2 linked regions of the Oreochromis niloticus genome follow. The main gene of each other region encodes a partner of the protein of the gene in region 2 in a complex. Links are inferred from orthologs where the notes say so. Each region holds a gene or a part of one and is shown on either strand. Other genes may lie near its edges.

What was found.
Region 1: the proteins of gdf11 (region 2) and fsta are in contact, whole or in part, in a crystal structure (PDB 5JHW), measured with the Homo sapiens proteins. The link is inferred for Oreochromis niloticus from reciprocal best matches to the Homo sapiens genes GDF11 and FST. Residues at the interface, in NP_005802.1 of Homo sapiens: Asn299, Leu300, Gly301, Leu302, Glu310, Arg312, Asp328, Trp329, Ile331, Ala332, Lys334, Arg335, Tyr336, Lys337, Tyr347, Met348, Phe349, Met350, Pro354, His357, Gln361, Ile380, Asn381, Leu383, Phe385, Asp387, Lys388, Gln389, Gln390, Ile391; in NP_037541.1 of Homo sapiens: Leu34, Arg35, Gln43, Val44, Leu45, Tyr46, Lys47, Thr48, Arg60, Ser62, Asp72, Asn73, Leu75, Phe76, Met79, Ile80, Leu134, Asp135, Arg149, Gln153, Pro154, Glu155, Val180, Val181, Asp182, Gln183, Tyr188, Val190, Thr191, Asn193.

The regions. Positions count from the first base shown.
Region 1 is NC_031977.2:26,386,949-26,397,409, forward strand, and holds the start of fsta (follistatin-A), read left to right. Parts: upstream 1-6,404; 5' UTR 6,405-6,517; coding exon 6,518-6,608; intron 6,609-7,741; coding exon 7,742-7,939; intron 7,940-8,109; coding exon 8,110-8,328; intron 8,329-8,455; coding exon 8,456-8,680; intron 8,681-9,295; coding exon 9,296-9,526; intron 9,527-10,461. Other genes in the region: itga2.2 (integrin alpha-2), read left to right, coding at 353-460, 773-886, 1,012-1,101, 1,404-1,520, 1,829-1,909. UniProt on the Homo sapiens protein: Multifunctional regulatory protein whose primary function is to antagonize members of the transforming growth factor beta (TGF-beta) superfamily including activin, myostatin, GDF11 or bone morphogenetic proteins (BMPs).
Region 2 is NC_031970.2:24,548,170-24,558,026, forward strand, and holds the start of gdf11 (growth/differentiation factor 11), read left to right. Parts: upstream 1-5,171; 5' UTR 5,172-5,646; coding exon 5,647-6,061; intron 6,062-9,857. Other genes in the region: si:ch1073-456m8.1 (leucine-rich repeat flightless-interacting protein 1), read right to left, coding at 1,075-1,149, 1,422-1,520. UniProt on the Homo sapiens protein: Secreted signal that acts globally to regulate anterior/posterior axial patterning during development. May play critical roles in patterning both mesodermal and neural tissues. It is required for proper vertebral patterning and orofacial development.

The DNA of each region.
Region 1 (10,461 bases), on a different chromosome or scaffold from region 2:
TTTAAACACTCAACCAGTACACAGTACCTAGCTTGTTGGAGGCTTGACTGGTTTACAGTCAAGCCTCCAACAAGCTAGGTACTCACAACTAGCTGGTGCGGCAGTGGAGCCACACCAGCGCTCCACTGCTGGCAGATGAGACCAGCCACACACACAGCGCAGAGCGAGTGGTCAAAGCTTAGAAATGAAAGAGTGTTTTCTGTTATGAATGTTTGTGTTTCTATTGGTTACTAAAGTTTTACTCCCAAATTTGTTTTTAACTATCAGGCTGCGTACAATTTCTTCAACTTTTACTGCATTCAAGTGTTATATCCATACAGTAAATGACAGAGCGCTTCTCCTCCTTCTGCAGGGAGGTTCAGTCAGCTGTGAACACAATCTAGTCAACCCTCTGAAGATCGGTGAGAACGCTCAGACTGTGTCCTTCTCTGCGGAGAGCTTCAGAGGAATGGAGAAGCTGGTCAGTGAAATATTTACAAAACTGTTGCTTGTAGCAGGAAGTTATGCACAATTCTAAATCTGCACATGTGCACATAATGCACAGAAATCTTTTGACGCATAATATGGTAAGAAAATAGTTTGTATGCAAAAAATGATTGTTTTGATGCACTACTTCTATAGTTTTGTATTTCCTACATGAATAATAAAGCTATTCATTTTTTCTTTTTTTACATATAACCTTACAGTATATGCACCTTAAATAATATCACATTGCTTTTCTTTTTTTTACTAATACTGAGTGTTGTTTCCTGATGTTTTTTTAAACTAACAGGACTGCAAGAGTGCAAACTGTGAATCTATAAAGTGCATCCTCAAAGACACTAAAGTTAAGAGCACCTACTTTGTGAACGTTAAAACGAGGATCTGGAACAGCACTTTTATTTCGGTAAATATCTTCATATCGATTTTAGAAAGTTGGTCTGCTTTTATTATCGTTACGTTTCTTAAGTTATTAATTGTGGAATTAATCAGTTACATTAACATAATTCGTGTAATTTTTTTTTATGTTAGGCCACCTATCAGACCGTTGAGCTGACCTCCAGTTTGGAAGTGAAGACCGACAAACCTGATCTGCTCATTATCAAAAACAAACAGCTGACTGTAAGATTATATTTCAGTTTGTTACTTTACTGCTTAAATCTGACTAACATGATGCTGTTTGCTTAAAAGAGCAGCACAGTTACTTCAGCTGATGAGCATACTCAATTGTCCTGATCATTTTCACAATTTTGTATGCAAAGAGCAGTGTAAAGCACATGAGTGCTCTTATGTAAGAATGTTTTATTCATTTATTTTTGCTTATATTGTTAATCATGCAATTTCTGGTTTTATTTTAAACTATTACGCCTGGATTTGATGGAGACAGACAAGGCAATGATGTCTCCTGTTCTCTTGCTCTCCAGCTTGGGTTGAGAGTCAGCAAACCCGGAGAGACGGCTGATGTTCCAGTTGGCGTCATAGTTGGCAGCGTCATAGCTGGACTGTTGCTGTTGGCTCTGGCTGTTGCGCTGCTGTGGAAGGTATGTTTTTGTTTGTTTGTTTGCTTTTGTTAAGATGTAGAGGAACAACAGTAGGATATGTAAAACTTAGGATGATGTACATTTGTAAAATGAGCATTTGATCTTTGCCGCCCCCTCCCGCCATGAACAGATACGGATGATTTCAAAGAAATCTGCAGCTTTCAGTTTAGTGATTCCAAGAATTCCTCACCAATATGCTACATAGCACAGGGATATAAGAAAGAAAACAGTTAAAACTGGTAACTGGTCTTGTAAAAGTCTGTGGAAGTATTCTTGGTTCACTTTTTCTGTCACACTTTTCTTTCTAGTTTGGATTTTTCAAAAGAAAGTATCAGCAGCTTCAGACGGAAGATGCACAGCACAACCCGCAGGGCGATGAGGTGCTGTGAAGAGAAAACCCACAGCTTTCTCTTTCTTCTGGTACTTCTCATTAGTTCTTGTAAAGTGTGAATAGACTGCAGCTCCGCCACTGGAAGCTGGCATTTTACTGGAAACTGGAGCGTCAGTGTTACTGGGATTCAATGCTTTGCACACTTTACAGAGAATTATTATCAGTCTTTACTCTTTGTGGAGTATTTGCACTGACTTTGAAATGTATAGGTTCAAAACTGTATTTTTTGCTAACACTGGCACCCTTTTGTACTGCAGTGATTTTGAAGCCTTTGCTAAAATCTTTGAATTGTTGCCCTCTTGAGTTTTACACTGTAAAAGCATCACTTTTATGCATTACTGTTTGTTTTGATGAATTTCAGTCATCACTCTTTCAATTAGAATACTTGTGAATGTAGCACATTTGTCAAAACATTGAACTTTTTAAAGAAGGCAGTAACTCTGTAGTACAAATTAGCTTGAGATCTACTGTCATCTCTGCCACTCAGGACTGTTTTTTGTAATAGGACTAGTGATATCAGGAGCTTATATGCAAAACAGATACAATACTTATAATGCAAAGTGAGTGAAATTTGTAATTACTGTGTTAGTACTGTATATACTTTAGAATCAAATCATGGGGTTCCATATTTGTGTTTATATATGGAAATGTTGTTGACAACATGGGTCAATGGGATATATATTTGTGTATTTGTATTGTTATTGATGATATTTGTAAAATCCCAGTAATATCACAGTTATTCAGGTATGACGAGTTTGGTAGAAAATTGCTTAAGGCTGACAATTTATACATAAATGTGTCTATTTATTTTGTCTGTGAATCAAAGAATGGTTTCCATATTTAATTTCAGATAACAAATGTATAGCCAGACCATAGATGGTGATGTCAAAAACTGGATGTCCTTTTTCTGCCAGCACACAGCATCAAAATCCCCAAAAATTAACAACAAAAAGCAAAGAAGGCAGAATATTTCACACGCAGCCAACACCCATGTTACAGAAAAGATTGAATGAGGAGCCAAACATGTACTGGCACTACTTTACCACAAGATGGCAGCATGTTACAAATGACGTGTTGGCAATGTTCTAGTCTGGTTTGTTTGTTTTTTCATTACTCAGTTGATGATTTGGATGCCCCACATTCTTATTGAATTGTATATCACAATTAAGGAGTTATAGCTATAGCTATTTTGTTTTCCATCACCCCGCTCCTCTCCTCTTCTCTCCTCTGCTCTCCCCTCCTCTGACCCTGCTGGGAACCCTACTTGGACCGCTCCAGTACAACTGAGTTTCCCCTCAAACTCAATTAATTCCCTCTCACATTTTTGACTGTCAGGTTCTCCCACCGTTAGGTTAGTCTCTCCCTTGACTGTTTAGGAATGTGTTTCTGAATGTTTTCCTTTGCAGCAAGCCAACGCCAGTACCCAGCAGAGTCTTTAATGTACATTTTGTTGGATCTGGCTCAATGGAATATGCTATTTCTCTCTAATAAGCAGCATATTTTTTGTGAGTTTAGGCTCGAGTCTTCTTGTTGGAGAGAATATATAGAATTTGATAAATGACTCAACTACTCTGTTTCACGATTACTCATGGGCTGCGGTGTTGTGAAACAGCCTGTGGATTCTGTCTATATGTGTACAGGGAGCAATGTGGAAAGAGTTGATGAAATGAGATACAGTGAAAGTGTTTGTATACCTTTTGTAAATTAATTTCTCTAGTGTCTCCTGCAGGTGATTGGCGGTTCCAGCCAAATAAATGAGTTATATCATAAAGGAATGATTACTCACAGATTCCTGCAGCATTCTTGTATATCAGCAAGTCGTAGCAAATGATTTAATAACTGTTGGTCTTTTTTGCACTTTGTGAAACTCTTGAGCGCTACCTGCATTTCAACTATAAACTCTGCATTGTGAAACCAAGCTGCTGGTTGTTTTGGTTTTTTCCATTTCTATCTTTAAACAATAGAAAACTTCATCTTTTCTGCACAAATGCTCAAGGTAGATTATAGATGTTTTTGTAGATACAGATGCATGCGGTATTGGAGCCTAATCTTTTGGGATTTTATCACAAATATGCTTGTTCAAATGAAAATGGATGCCCTCCATGATATCAGAAGTTCATGGAGCTAATCAGGATTTTATTATACTCAAGTATATTTATTATACTTTATTATACTGGCAAAGAGTGGCAAAACATTCCAGTCAGTACTAATCATTTGCTTCATGGGCCTGTTTGAACCAAATTCAGCTCAGAGCCTGAGCCCTGCTTGTCCCTTTGCTTATGCCATTAATGGCTTCAGGACCAGAGCCAGCACTTTAAAGTTGATACAGCAGGACAGAAGAGGGCTTGCATGTTGGGAAGTGTTTTGGAAACTTCAGCTCTTCAAAGACACTGATCTCACAAATCATTCACACCAGACACTGAATGATTTGTTGAACATAACTTAAGATCAAATGAATGTTTTCTTGATTTGTTGAAATGAAGAATTGTCTCAAATATCAATTAAAAGTTCCCAAACAAGTAATATATAATCTATAAATAACCTTTATTTGGCACATTTGTTCATTTTGCTATCAAAAGTCAGTTTCCTGATCACCCACACAAGATTTTATAACCAGATACTTTAGTCTCTTGATAAAATCATAAATCATCTGTGGCATTTACACATGATGCAGAAAAGTGTCCTTCAAACAGATTATACATATTTGATTATAGGGACCTTAATTACTTAACGATGTTTCTAAAAAAGCTTGGCTTAAATGTTCAGTCTTTATCCAAATATGCAAAACTGCATAAAGCTTCGGTGATTGCTCTGATAACAGTTAACACAAGCTATAAATCATTCTGATAACAATTTTCTGCAGAAGGGTTAAAATGAGATTAAAAATATACAAATATTTGCCACCAGAGGATCAAATTAGCTGATAAGGACTGCAGAAAATGGTCAAAATATTTGTTCTGGTCTCATATTTGCTGTATCAGAACCATTTTTGTTGATTGAAGGAAATTAAGACGATTGCAAGGTCTTTTATGGGGGGTTTGTGTTAAAAACTTGTTTTGCACTGAAAATCAAGCAGTCAGAAAAAGCATGTTGTCTCACACATTAGGACTGTGTGTTCATTCGTTTTTTATGAGTCCTGTGTATGCTATCGTGGAAACCCCCTTTTGAGCTACCTTTTATTACTTCTAATCCTAAAAAAAATGTAATAACATTAATATTGTTCATTGCTTATAACAGTAATGATCTGTCTGTAATAGGAGTGATCACATAGGTAACGGTTGACGTCTTTTTTAAGAGAAAAGCCCCCCCCCCCCACACCCCCCTCTCCCACACACACACACACACACACACACACACACAACACACACACACATCCTGGTCTATATTAAAATCTTACATAAATATAGATTTGATACCAGATATTAGTATCATGGAGATAAACTGTACAGTGAGTGGTATTTAACTGGATACAGACAAAGAGATCACAGTGTCTTCTACCTGACCGTCAGTTAATTAATTTCCTGGTGTCTGGTTCGCACAGCAGACACTTTGCTCTGGAGAGCTGTAACCAGAATTCCGCTGAAGAGGTCGCGCAAGGACTTCTGAAGGAGTTCAGCGTCTGTGAGCGGAGAGCAGTGTGTGTGTGTGTGTGTGTGTGTGTGTGTGTGTGTGTGTGTGTGTGTTTCATTCAATGAAACGCAACACCCTGCTTCTCTGTCTGAAGCCTCTTCGGAAACAGGTTTGATTATATTTAAAAGCTTGACCCGGGAGAGAAACCCAAACAACTGTCTGTTCTAACATTAGCAGTGCGGCTGCGGACTACTACGAATTCTATTATTGTCTGGGCTCGGATGTGTTCCAAAAGGCAACTCACATCAAAAAGATTTGCTCTTTTGTCTGCAGTTGGTGGAAAAAAAAAAAAAATCAGTTACCACCAAATAGTAATCTTAATTTGAAGCACTGATGGTATGCCTGGAAAGGCATGCTGGCAGTGGGCCTGTCTGTTCATCATCATCATCATCATCATCATTATTATTATTATTATTATTATTATTATTATTATTATCATTATTATTATTATTATTAAAGAGCACATATCCACGCCATGTGTATAGAGGATGCAAAGCCCATGAGTGCTCATTCTTCCACGCGAGTCACGTGAAAGTGATAAATGATGTGATAGAAGTATCAAACGGGTTGAAATTAAACTTCGGGAACAGTGTTGATTTCAAAACAACAACAAATTTTCATATCAGCTGATACTTTTTTCCATCTTGCGCTTTCTTTCTCTGCAGAGCTGCCTGAGCTCCAAGTATGGTGTTTTCTTTCAAGTATTTTCATATCCTTTAATTATTGCGGCAAAGAGAAAGTTGCTAGTAACGATGTCACCTGATTGGGATTGAAAGAAGTTTGGTAAGGAAGGAAAAAAAATTTCCCCACCCCCATAGAAGAGGAGACCGCCCACCAGAGACAGTCAACCCGAGACCCCTTATAGATTTAAAGAGAGGCTGCATTCTCAGACTGACACTTATTCAACACTGCCACCTTAAGCAGATTACTTTTGCGCTGCCTGTGTCAAATACGTGGTTCACTTTGCCTCTCCATCATGTTTGGGATGCTGAAACACCACCTTCACCCGGGCATTTTTCTCTTGTTCTTATGGCTTTGTCACCTCATGGAACATCAAAAAGTTCAAGGTAAGCTCTCCTTATCAATTTCCTTTTATTCTCTTTCGCTTTTTTTTCTTTTTTTAAAACGTGCACTGCTGTCAGTCACAGAACCCGCGGGGTGTCTTCCACTTGCTGCCACCGAGAAACTTTTCAAAGTTTCTTGATAAAAGTCTTTCTACATCAGGCAGTGCTTGCGTAAAGCGTATAGAAAACAGGTGCCCTGTGGGACACTTCAAAGTGATATTATATGGCAAGTTTTGCAGTCGTCACCAGGCGCGCACACTACAGCCGCCACGCCGTGTTGGGGACAGTCTTTCACAATACCTGAACATATTTTTGCAACTGTGTGAGCGTTTAGCATTCCGCGATGTTGTTGTCAATGCTCCAACAAACTTCAGAATATCCACTGTGAGCGCGTTATTTATACATCCCGCAAGTAGCTTTTCTGTATTGTGTGCAAAAACAGTTGCAGTTTTATACCTATGCAGGTTTTTGACTATGCAGGCTTTTGCACCCATCATTCATGGTTTCGGGGGGACATATTTCAATTCAGCATAAGAAACACACTATCTCATGAAGATTAAAAAAATGTATTTGTGTCTTTGTCGGTTTAAACATGCTGTTACTGTCTGGAGGAAGTAATATTTTTTGGCATGGAACTGGAAAAACTGTTCTGTTTTACATTTTAATATCTCTGAAATAAACTTTACATTGCTTTGTTAATAAGTAAGTCATTGTCTGGTTGCTGTCTGGGATAACATAGTGAGTGAGGCGTTGGAGACGGTGGTGTGTGTAGCCTTGTTACCTAAAGACCGTGGTTTTCTAAAGGAGAAAGATTGGCTGCTATTTAACGCTGTCTAGACGCTCCCGTTTCTGTCCAGTGATAGCAAGCAGACACTGGGAATAAAAGACAACCCCCCTCCGAAGATTCTTCTTACTTTTTTGGTTATGGCTGCATTGTAAGGGCTGTCAGTCACAGTTGGGATAGGCAAGTGTTAACAGTCTCGCAAAAAAAATCAGACAAAATACTGTCGGGAGGGCGAAAAGGGAGGGAGGGAGCGTCTCGGATAATACGGCTGCGTGTGTATATTGAGTCTGGGTCAGCGGGTTTTTAGACGTCCAACATGCGGCATTCGAGCTTTTTTGTTTTTCGTCTACAGCTGGGAACTGTTGGTTGCAGCAGGGGAAAAACGGGAGGTGCCAGGTGCTCTACATGCCCGGGATGAGCAGGGAGGAGTGCTGTCGGAGTGGAAGACTGGGGACGTCCTGGACCGAGGAGGACGTCCCCAACAGCACGCTCTTTAGGTGGATGATCTTCAATGGCGGAGCTCCCAATTGCATACCTTGCAAAGGTGGAGGTGCACTCATTTCCCTTCGTTTTCTCACATTACATGTAATCACTCATTTTGGTTAATGAATTAAACTGGTGTTCTGGTTTGCGTAATTGTCCCATTACTTTACGCGCCAGAATACACACCAGGGGGAAAAATCCTCATTAGCATCACATAACACAGTGCTTTTGTTTTAGAAACCTGCGACAATGTTGACTGTGGGCCCGGAAAGAGGTGCAAGTTGAACCGAAGAAGCAAGCCGCGCTGCGTGTGCGCACCAGACTGCTCCAACATCACCTGGAAAGGACCTGTCTGCGGCTCCGATGGAAAGACCTACAAAGACGAATGCGCACTGCTGAAAGCTAAATGCAAAGGTCACCCCGATCTGGACGTACAGTACCAGGGCAAATGCAAGAGTAAGTAAATGTAACTGTCACCACATTTCTGAAAGCCGAGCGAGCCCGAAAGAATCCGTCGCTTTCTTGTATTTCTTGCATTTCGTGTCATTTTCACACAACTCTCCCAATGTCTTTGTCTCGCCAGAAACGTGCCGTGACGTCTTGTGCCCCGGCAGCTCCACATGCGTCGTAGACCAGACCAACAACGCGTATTGTGTGACGTGTAATCGGATTTGCCCCGAGGTGACGTCGCCCGAGCAATACCTGTGTGGAAACGATGGGATCATCTATGCCAGCGCGTGTCACCTGAGAAGAGCTACCTGTCTCCTCGGCAGGTCTATTGGAGTGGCATATGAGGGAAAATGCATCAGTAAGTCTGCAGCTACACGCATGAAAGCGTGAGACTTTACTCCCCGAGAGAGAGAGAGAGAGAGAGAGAGAGAGAGAGAGAGAGAGAGAGGTGCAGCAGTCACCGACTCTGAAAACTGTTTGAGTGCATTTTCTTTCTGGCCAGCTCTGCAGTAATTCACTGCTCATTTTTGCCAACATTCCAGTGAGGAGGGGGTCTTAGAGAGAATGTGTGTTTGGTAGTTGCTTGTGTTTGCTCAAGAAATGATAGACATCTTATTATTTCCTGATGTTGGCAGCACTTTCCCATTTGGGAAAGAGGGAATGAGAGGGGGAGGGAGATGGAGGAAAACAGGGGAGTGCTGGGGGCCATGAAGACATGCTTCAAGTTTTGAGTCAGATTGATTCTTACACAGATAGTAGTCAATTTCAGTCTTGTAGTCTTTAAAAGGCTAATTAAAAACAAAGATTTCTGTTCCACACCACGAGGCCTTATCCTGTAAAGCAGGATTTAGTTTTTATTCTCTCTAATTCTCTAAAAAACTAGGTAGTCATCTGATCCTGCTTGAAAAACATTCATGATAATTCATCTAATCAAAGATTTCCTCTCTCCTTATTTCCTTTTCTCTTCTTCCAGAGGCCAAGTCATGTGAGGATATCCAGTGCAGCGCGGGGAAGAAGTGTCTGTGGGATGCTCGGATGGGCCGAGGCCGTTGCTCATTGTGCGATGAGTCCTGTCCGGAGAGTAGGACAGATGAGGCGGTGTGTGCCAGCGACAACACCACATATCCCAGTGAATGTGCCATGAAGCAAGCTGCTTGCTCAATGGGGGTGCTGCTTGAAGTCAAACACTTAGGATCTTGCAACTGTAAGTAAATTACAAAAGCAAAATATAAAAAGAAAAGAAAGAAACAAAATCGTCCCCTCCTTCTCTGAGCAAAAGACAATATTCTATGTTGCTTTCCCAACAAAAACCTCCCGTGAAATTGCCCCCCACCTACCACCTACCCTGATTTTCCCTGAGCTCCCATCCCGGCCACATCACCAACCACATCTTAAGCAAGCAGAAAAGACTTGGGGAATGGAAGAACTTGCATGACATTGTCCTCGTCGCTGGCTTTTGTTCTCGTGTTGTTTTTTTGTTTAATTTTCGTTTTGTTTTCACGTTTTCCCAATTCTGCAAATCCTGCTAACAGAAAGATGCGCGAAAAACTTATATCAGCAAACTGTTTGCAGTGGATCTATACTTTCTGAAAAAATAGGTGTGTCTATGGTCGTGCTAGTGACCTGCGGGAGCAGGTTGCCTTAAATCCCATGCAGTATTTTTTCAATCATTAATGGTTTAATGTCCACATCTTTACAGCTTGTAAATTCCATGGTCACATTGTTAATTTCCTGGAAATGGTCTATTTTTTTTTTTTAAATTTTTGGCTATAATCAATTGATTCAAAATGCACTGCCTCTTGTGACATAAACCACACCGCCAACACGTCGGTAAAAAAGAAAGAATATGTATGACGTGCATAAGGTGATTGTAACATTGGTACCATTGATAACAATGATGGATTTGTACACTGAGATTCATGTAAACTGCCTGTCATAGACCAGTGTGAGCCATTTATAAACCCACAAATCTTCAGACAAAATACTAAATTTAACAACAGCTTTGAGGTAGTTTCAAATTGACATTCCAAATTTCTATTTAGAAGATTGTTTGTTTGTTTTTCCTAACTGGCTTAATATAATATGATTAAGGTTTGCAATGAAGTCCAAGGGACCAACTTTATGATCACCTCATGGGCT
Region 2 (9,857 bases):
GTAAAAATAAGGAAGCCATAAAAACACGAGATATCGCCAATTATTGCTGTACTAAAAATTCTGAAGCAAACCATCTTCTGCAATTTGGAAAGTACCATTTCATGGTTTTCCTGCCCCCGTCATTACTGGCACTCACACGGTTTTCATTTCAAACATTTCTCTCCTGACTACAAAGAAGGACCCAGATATTTACAGCTGTAACTGCAACAGCTGTTTAAAGACATAATTTCATTTTCTTTATAAATCCTCTTGACTGCTGGGGGGGGCAGCACCAGTGCCAGAGATGTCAGCAGGACCCACAAACTAATCCTCAAGCCTGGACCCATCATTGGCCAGAATTTGGAGGCGTTTGAGTCAGTGAGAGACCGGAGGTCAGTGAACAAACTGCTCTCTGTCATGGACATCCCATCACACCCACTCTGCTCCACACTTCTGAGGCAGCAGAGCTCCTTCTCACTGCCATAAACAACTCAGGAAATCATTCTCGTCATTCTCTATAAAGCTGTATAATAACTCCTCGTTCTGTGACAGGTGATCACACCTGTCAGACATGTGATTCTACACATATTTCTATTGTACCTTCATGCACTTATAGCATACATATTATGTACTAATGAAGTTTGCATTACTCTTCCACAATGCCAGTCTTACTTTTACTATTTTTAACTGTCTTCATATTTACTTTAATTTGTTGTTGTTGTTATACTATGAGAGAAAGTTTTTCCATTCTCTCATAGTATAAGGTCTTTACTAGACCCCTGTGGCACTTTAACTTTGTTAAATATTGTAGGCTGTACTATTTTTATTCTTCATCTTGCTGCTGTAGCATAATCATTTTTCTTGTGGATCTATAAAGTATATATCTATATATCCATCCACTTTTTGGCACGACTGACCATAACTCGACATCACTCTGTGTCACAAGATACAAAACCTTTAGACTCTCGGCCTATGCAAGCGTCTCATCCCAGAGGCATTAGGTAGCACTGCGTGTCCGTCACATATACAATGCTGTAACACTGAGACAACAATGAGTTCAGCGCAGCGAGTGTCAGTTTTTATGCTAGCTCCTACCTGGCTGTCACTCCTCCTCTTCAGGATGCTCGCTCTGCTGTCGCTTCTTGTCACACGTCTGGACGAGCTGTCAGTCTGATGACAAGACGAAAACACATCTCAGGCGGAGTCTGAGCATCACCATCATCATCATCATCATCATGAGCCACAACAACAAAACAACAAAACAACGAACAGCTAACAGCGCTAACGCTGAGGAAGTGAAATGAAGCGACGGGCCTGACGAGTGCTTCGTTTACCCTAGCCGTTTGTTTATTTTAAGTGTTGAACAAATTAAAGACACCAAACTAATTCGGTTATTTAAAACAGCTGTGACGTTAACGACGCCGTGATTTCTGTCCGCTCACCTCTTTGATAATACTGCGCAGAGACTCGTCCTCGCTCATTCCCCGAGAAAATGAGCGCTTCTTCGGTGAACCACTGCTGTCCAGCGTGACCGAGTGCATGTTGTACGCGTTATATTACGTTTTTCTTTATATAAGAGACACCTCCGGGCTCTCTGGCTGAAGTGGTGTTTTGTACCTGCTTCCTACGCAGCTACAGGGAGCTACACCCAGGCCCTGATCTACGGAAAGCCGCAGGGACCAAACCGTGTTTAGCGCCGCCCTCGCTCCGCCCACTCTCTCTGAACAGTCAAATATCCGTCTTTTTCGGGAGACATGGGTCACGTTTGTGGCTGTGGGGAGGTTCAAATAGACTTGGTTTGTTGTAAAGTTAAGGGAGAGCATTCTGGTGCATGGCTGGAATTAATCAGTGAAAAAAGCCTGCCGTTTTTTAGTAAAGCTATAGGTACTTTTACAAACGTGGCCAGAACAATGGAAAGTGAGGTTTAACAGGACTTTTCCTGTGAAAAAAATAAGAAATCCCTTTTATTCAGTAGCTTGTAGAGCAACTTTTAGAAACAGTGACTTGAAGTAATATTTTTTTGTATGATTTTATCGGTCTCACATCATTGTCGTTACGTTGTTGCTTCAGTTCATTTCATTTATCTTAATGTCTCTTAAGATCTCACCAAAGCCATTTACTGCTTCTGTGCTTGGGATTATTGTCCTGTTGCATTACCCACATTGGGCCAAGCTTTAGCTGTTGGACATGTGGCCTCACATTTGAGTATACTTTGGTATAAAGAATAGTTCATGATCGACTCAGTGACTGCAAATATCTTTTAGCTGCAAAACAAGCCCAAATCATTACCCCTCCAACACCATGCTTGACAGCTGGTATGAGGTGTTTGTGCAAATATGCTGTGTTTGGCTTTCTGCAAATGTGATGCTTTGAATTATGGTCAAAACCTACACTTTGGTCTTGTCTATCCAAAGGACATTGTTTCAGAAGTCTTGAGGTTTGTTCAGATGCAACTTTGCAAACATAAACTGTGCTGCCATGTTCATTTTAGAGAGAAGATGCTTTCTTATTCTTATTATTTTCTTATTTAATTACGAATTGCAAATGATGAACTTGATCAATCATAAGTCATTTGGCTCAGAATAGTAAGGATTTCTAACACTTACAGACTTTGAACACCACATATTTTTATTCCGATAAACTGGAACCAAACTGAGAACACAGAAGGCAATGATTCTTTACAGAGATAAGCCAACTCCCTTACTACTCAACCTTTACAGCAACTTTTATTGATTAATCTACCAATTTAACCTTTTATTTGTCTTTTCACTCTACTCACATATAGTGACTTTTGCCCCGTCATGGTGTGAAAACACTGGTTTCTGACAAAGTTAACCTCCACAAGAACTGGATCCTGAAACTGAAGTGTTTGTACAACTTTACAAACCAAACTATTTGACAGCTGAAGAACTTAAGATGGCAGTCAATACCTGACAAAGCAAAGGTTTTTGTTTTGTCTTATTGTTATTTTTAACATGTATTACTGATAATTTAAACAAAGGGTGAAAGTGGAAGTGGAGAAAAAAGTGAACAACTGCAACAGGAAATGAGGAAACAGTTCAAACCCCCTAAATATATGATGATATTTACACAGTGTATGACTCAAAAGCTGTACACTGTTATTCATCCCAGATATATGTGTTTATTACACACAGATGATCATGACATAGTCTCATATCTTGATACAGGGTTTCTATAATTGTAGGCAGATGTAGTAATATATCAGCCTACGCATTGGTTAGATAGAATTGTTCATACAACTTCCTTCACCTTTAAGGTGATTGACTGAATACAAAATCTACACATTGCTCTCGTGCAGCGGACCAGACCCTCAGTTTGGAGCAAAAACTCCAAACCAGGTTTAAATTTTTCCTTGAGCTGTCCTCTGAACTGTAGTTTGTCACTGCGTAGCAACAGTGAGGACTGCTTACTGTAGACTCAGTGCTATGACACTTTGTTGAAACAATGACTGCCTCATTAATGACTGTTTTTCTGGTGTGCGTGAGAGATAACTGTTATTCAAAAAGAGGCCGGCCCTTTTGATTTACACCCATCAATGCAAAGACCATGAGGTTTACTGAAACCAGATCTATTTCACTGTGTATATGTAGAAACCTCACTGATCATTTTACATGAAGTTTTACAAAGCCTTTCTGCGCTTGAGTGTTTGTATGTGGGTTTAGTGTGTTAAGGCTCTGAGTAGATGTTAGATCAGCAAATCTGATCATGCAAATGATTCACACTTTATCTGCATACATGAACAGAAAAACATGCAAACGTGGAGAGGAGGGATGAGTGGCAACTGCAGTAGAATGAACATGAGTGTCTCATCACTTCAGGACTCATTAGTTTTTGTCTTTTGATCCAGTGTACTAATGATTTGTCTTAACGGAGCAACTGTTAAATATATTTTTCTGAAAAAAAGAGAAAAACTAAAAGAGTTGAAAATAACATAACACCAGATATATTACCAATGCTTTCATGTCTGATGTCTCCAAGCCTGTTGTAAAGGGACGCTTTCATACTTTGGTACTGTAGAAATTTTTGAGATGACCAAGTAAAGCATTAATTGCAATGAATTTCATTCGTTGTATTGGAGGTGCAATGCAGAATCCTCAGTTCTTTAGTAGTGGCTGAAATGTACCAAACCAATAGGGTTCCTGGTTTAGAGTGCAGCTCCTGAAGGTGAATTTTACAAAACACAGCCTCCAATGAACAGAGAGGCACGCAGCTTTGAGTCCTGCAGTCGCAACTATGTTTTTCACCAGCAGATGTCGGTGTGGTCGCACAGGCTGCTCATCGCTCAAAGAGGTGGTGCTGCGAAACTTTTAGCCTATTTTGGAAGAAGAAAAAATGAACTATAAAAATACCCAAGTGATATACATATGAAAATATGTATATGACAGTGGTTCTTGGGCACCATTTAAGTAACAACCTCACATGTTTATATATCGCTGGATGATGTTTCAGGAAAGACTGAAATTCCACAGCTCACTATAATTACATGCGTCACTTGCTCATTAGTTCATATACTGATAGGTACAAATGGCATTCACACGGGTCTGTGTATACTAATGAGTCCATCTACATTATAATTGAGAGCTTACAGACATGCTCCTGCTTAATGGCTCAAAAGTCTCCGAAGTGTAGGGTTATTAAACATAATCTATCAAAATCATGATCAGCCTTGAATGCACCCTTCTGAATTTGGAGCTATTATTTTTCAAGGAAACCGTGAGTTTGTTCTTTCTTACCGGTTTCAATGAAAACTTTCACATTCATTTTGAAGAGCCTTACAAGAATATATCTAAATAATCTGCATAATACCATCTGACAGACTTACATGAATAATTCTTATCTTCGAGTTACCAGTTTAATTAATGTACACCATAAATGTTATGTGCACGCTTCATGATTGACTGTGGTAAATTTGCAAGAAATCCATTTAGCTTTTTTCTTTTTGATTTTTATTTTTTAAATTGGCACCATTAAACATTTAACCTATTTTAAAAAACAAAAAACAAAAGCATGCGTAGTGAGCAGTTTGCCATCATCCTAATAACCTAATTGGGCTATAGGTTATCTCTAATGGGAGACATTGTTTGTGCACTGTAAAAACATTTATACTCTTTTAACGGTGCGCACACCCTCCCTTCCTCTGTCCCTCTTGACTTGGTGACAGACCTAAAAGCCTTTTGTTGCAATCTTAGCCAATGGAGGCGGATTACGACAGCGGGCAGCTGAGATATATAAAGAGCGCCTTTTTGACCGTACTTGCACATTTTTCCAGTGACACCTCTGCACATACTCACACCTCCGTGGACTAAAATTGTACAGAAATCAACAATTAGCTTATACTGCACGTGAGCAGGCTATGCATTCACCAGGCATTTAACTTTCAATCAAAGGAGCTTGTACCGACACCCTCTGCGCGCACTTTTTTTTTTTTTGTTAAAAGAAAAAAAAGAAAAAGAAAGAATATTACAAAAAGAGAAACTTCGGGTTGATCGTATTGGATTAGATGCATGTCACTTATTCTTTGCCGTTTGTAGGCTAAGACGAGGAGCGGCGCAGATTCGAGAGACGGGATCTAACGGAATAAAGTGCGTAAAAAACAAGATAAGGAAGGGGAGGAAAAGTTGCGTTTTCTGTTGTCCACGCATCGTCATGCCGAGGTACAACTTCTTACTGTGCTTGATGGTGCTCATCTCCTTGGGACAGTCGGGGAGCGATGAGCCCAATCTGCTGCTGCCTCCTGCCAGCGAGACGCCCACGGATGCCGGGCTATCTCTGCTGGATGAGGACGCCGGTTCTCACGAGTGTTCCGCTTGTGTTTGGAGGGAGCAGAGCAAAGTGCTGAGACTGGAGACCATCAAGTCCCAGATCCTGAGCAAACTGCGTCTGAAGCAGGCGCCCAACATCAGCCGGGAGGTGGTCAATCAGCTGCTGCCCAAGGCGCCCCCGCTCCAGCAGCTTCTGGACCATCACGACTTCCAGGGAGATGCTTCGTCCCAGGATGAGTTTATGGAGGAGGATGAGTACCACGCCACCACGGAGTCCGTGATTACTATGGCCTCTGAGCGTGAGTAATAGTTTACAACCTAACAATGATATTGTCTCCAAATGCGTCATGCGCGTAATTGGGGAGCAGGATAGGTTCAAGTGGCTCAGGCCTGCTGCGCGGACAGTCGGTGACCTACCCTACTTTTAGTGATTGAGATTAAAGGAAACTAACTGGTAAAATTAGACAGCTGTCAAAAGGAGGGGATAATGTGTGAAACTGATAAATCAATAACTGGCAGCACAAAGAACCTCATCACTCTGAACGGACAGCGCCAATATGGCTTGATTGACTTTTGTTTTCATGACGACGATGATGATGAAGCTGAGTGTTTCATATTTAGCTGCTGGACTCCTTGCTGTCACGTTAAACTCTCCATTTCTCCCATAACGTTTTAAGAAGACGAGGCATGGCAGAGCCGTTTGAATGTCAAGTGCATTATTAATGATAATGCAGCATTTGGCTGGCAGTTGCATCACTTTATCCTTTAATGTCTTCCTTTGCATAAAGGCCTTAAATTCTGGAGTTATCACATCTCGAGGCCCTCTGATTATTGTCCTCTAACAATTTGCTCGCCCTCCCATTGTTTCCCATAAATCCACAGATAAACCACAGGCAGGCCCCCTCTGAGACATTTTATAAAATTACTTTTGAACCCTGGCAGCTGTGCTCTATCGCTCTTTTATAGGAGGCTCTACCGGTTCCCCTGCTGTTCATCGCAGTGAGAAAAAGTGTGTCCAAAAAGCTGCTATTGTTCGCCTCATGCAGCGGCCCCCCTCGGCCGCACTTGCCTTTTAAATGCGAAGTTTATAGGCGCAGCTCGTTTTTTTTTTCACCAAGAGTACACAAAGACAGAGAATCACTTAGGGTCGAGGGGAGTGTGTGACCTTTTCCTGGTGAAGCGCGGGGTTCAACAACATTTACACACGTAATATATTCTGCACAAGGCGGATGAAACACTCTGCAAATAATCCTTTTTTTCACTCCCTGGCTGAACAAAGACCTCTATCTATCTATCTATCTATCTATCTATCTATCTATCTATCTATCTATCTATCTATCTATCTATCTATCTGTGTGTGTATGTGTGTGTGTGTGTGTGTGTGTACTGCCACTCACCTGTAATGGAAAGCACCACCTGTCTTTGTCATTATAACAACAAAAAACCATTAACTCAAATGTTAGCTATTGAAATGTCCTCTAAATTGCTCTATTTCAATGCAGTTAGAGGAGGCCACATGTGCTGTTTAGTTCTCACATTATTCACATTATTTTGAACCTCAGATATCCTTCAAGTTTCCTGTTTGCCTTGATTGTTGTGACTCATAAAAAGGATATCAGTGCACAGATGATGTCTTACTGCAGGTGAAATCACTGTAAAAAATTTGCTTTGATTTCAAACTGCTTAATATAAGCAGCAGTTCATAAATACATGAGCGCTGTCTCTGTTTTCCCTTTTGTTACCTGCTCACAAACACATGTAGGGTGTATTTGGTTTGTTATTGTCACCTCTCTGATCGGCTGATTAAGAAATCTCACATTCGACTGCATTGCTGACACACTCAGTGTACATTCTGGGAAACACAGTGACTTCAAATTATATTTTTACCCCTGGTTTTCATCCTCTGCACCACCTGACACGCATACATATTCTCTTTCTAACGCACACACACGCACATACACACTGTGCAGGGATTTGATATCTCGTCAAGCCAGAAAAAGGCATTGTGTGAGCTTATTGTGCGTTTCTGACGGCCCCACAGCGGCAAGAGAAGCTAATGATTGACATTACTGCTGAATCTGTCATGTTAGGGAGCAGCACTTCCTCTCTCATCTGTTTGCCTCATCTCTTTACATCAGCTACTGTTTTTTTTATCATCAGCTCTCTCTCTCTCTATCTCTCTGTATTCCTCATCACGCCCGCCTCCACCTTCTTCCCGGTTAGCCCCCTCTCTCCTTCCTCTTTTTCCCCCCTCGGTACTCATGGAAGAATTGAGCGAATGAGCGCATCTCCTTTGCCTGTGGCGCTTTAGTTATCCCACAGGATTAAAAGTGCCCTTTTTTGTCTCTCTGATAGAAGGAAGACTTCAAACACTATTCCCTGTGCACCTCGAACCCAATCACCCTTTCACGGTCGTGCACACTGCCTTTGATTGGGCCACGGGGGTTCACACAGTACATACTGAACTGGACCTGTGCCAGAGTTGCTTCTTAGTATTCACTCAAGGTACGTGGGTGCCGCAGTGGGGGTTGAGAGGGTCCATGCTTCCTGGTCTGTAATTACTATGAAATTTCATGGAAAAGTACATCTATTTATATCATAGTGCGGCACTTTATGTACTGAAACATCTCCCCTCTGTACAGCGTGCTGTTTAGGTAAACCACTCCGCTTGTTTCCCTCACAGAAAAAGTGACCCGGCTTTGATCAGCGTGTCAGAGAATTTTTATTAACAAATGCATGCATGTGTATCTGCGTGTGAGCTGCTCTATTTGTGTTCCTATTTGTTGATTTATGTGTCTAATTATGTGTATTTTGGGGCTTGGTTTGTTTTGCCCGAGGTGGGGTGAGGATTTGACCCCACTAGTCTCTCATTTGTCACCTGTCCAAAAAACCTTCAGTCCAGACCTTCCTCCGCCACCAGCAACCTCCTCCTCCTTTTTTTTTCTTCCTTTTTCTTCTTCTGTATGCCTTCATGCTAATTTGCCACACTTTATGACTTCTGCCAGCCAGTAGAAAACACCAGAAGAAGCATTACAGTAATTGCTCAGACAGTTACTGCACTTCATTTACTGCAATAGACTTGCAGGCCACAAGAAAGTTATAGTACTGCTGGTCATTCTTTAGATTTAGTGAATGTCTTTTCTTCGCTGTAAAGACTCTTTTCTTTTATGTTTGCACTTTTTTCCAGCTCATGGACATATCAGTGTGTCCAAAATGTGAGAAATGACTGGCAGTTTGCAGCAAAACACTTACCGTTAGGGGGATGAGTACTTAAGGTTTAGAAGAACTCAAGACCACCAGATTGAATGCATCCTTAAATAGCACTTTCTCTTTTAAACTATTTTATCCCACGTTTTGTTCAGTAAATGAGGATTTAGTAGAGGCCTACATTATGCCATTTTATACTGGCATTGTTATGTAATCCTATTCAGGTGAACCACATTCAGCCAGCATGAGCACCGGTTTACACAGCTCTCGATTAAAGAGAGACATCCACACGCATGTCGAGGTATGTATGTGCCATTTTCCGCATGTGCACGCTTGTGTAGACACACAGGGTGCCCACACACACCTACTCACACAGTCACACACACACTCCAGAGAAAAGTTCTCCTATTGACAAAAAGGGTCACAGAGTTCACAGCTATGTGATATATTGGAAGAGGAGACTATTAACCTCATCAGGTCTCTTTCTTTGGCAGCAAAGACGAACCGGTAGTAACTTGAACACTTATCCCCCCACCACACAAATACCCACACACACACACACACACACACACACACACACAAACAAGTCTTTTATAGTGTTGACCCTATAAAAGGGTCATTTCCTGAAGGTGCAGGAACCATAAAAATTAAGAGGGAGAGCGCTAAAAGGACAGAGCACCAGCAGCCGGACTGTCTTCAACTCACTGGTCAGTGTTTGCTGGAAGTTGATGACTATGTGAGGTTTTTATAGATATAGTCTCAGTTTGACGATGACACCTGTTCTCCTTGTGTAGTTGCTGGCATCAGTTCAGGGAAAGATAAACTTTGGTGTTTGAATTGTTTGGGCGCTGAGGCATGAACCTTTGTTTAAAAGGCTCATGTTTGTTT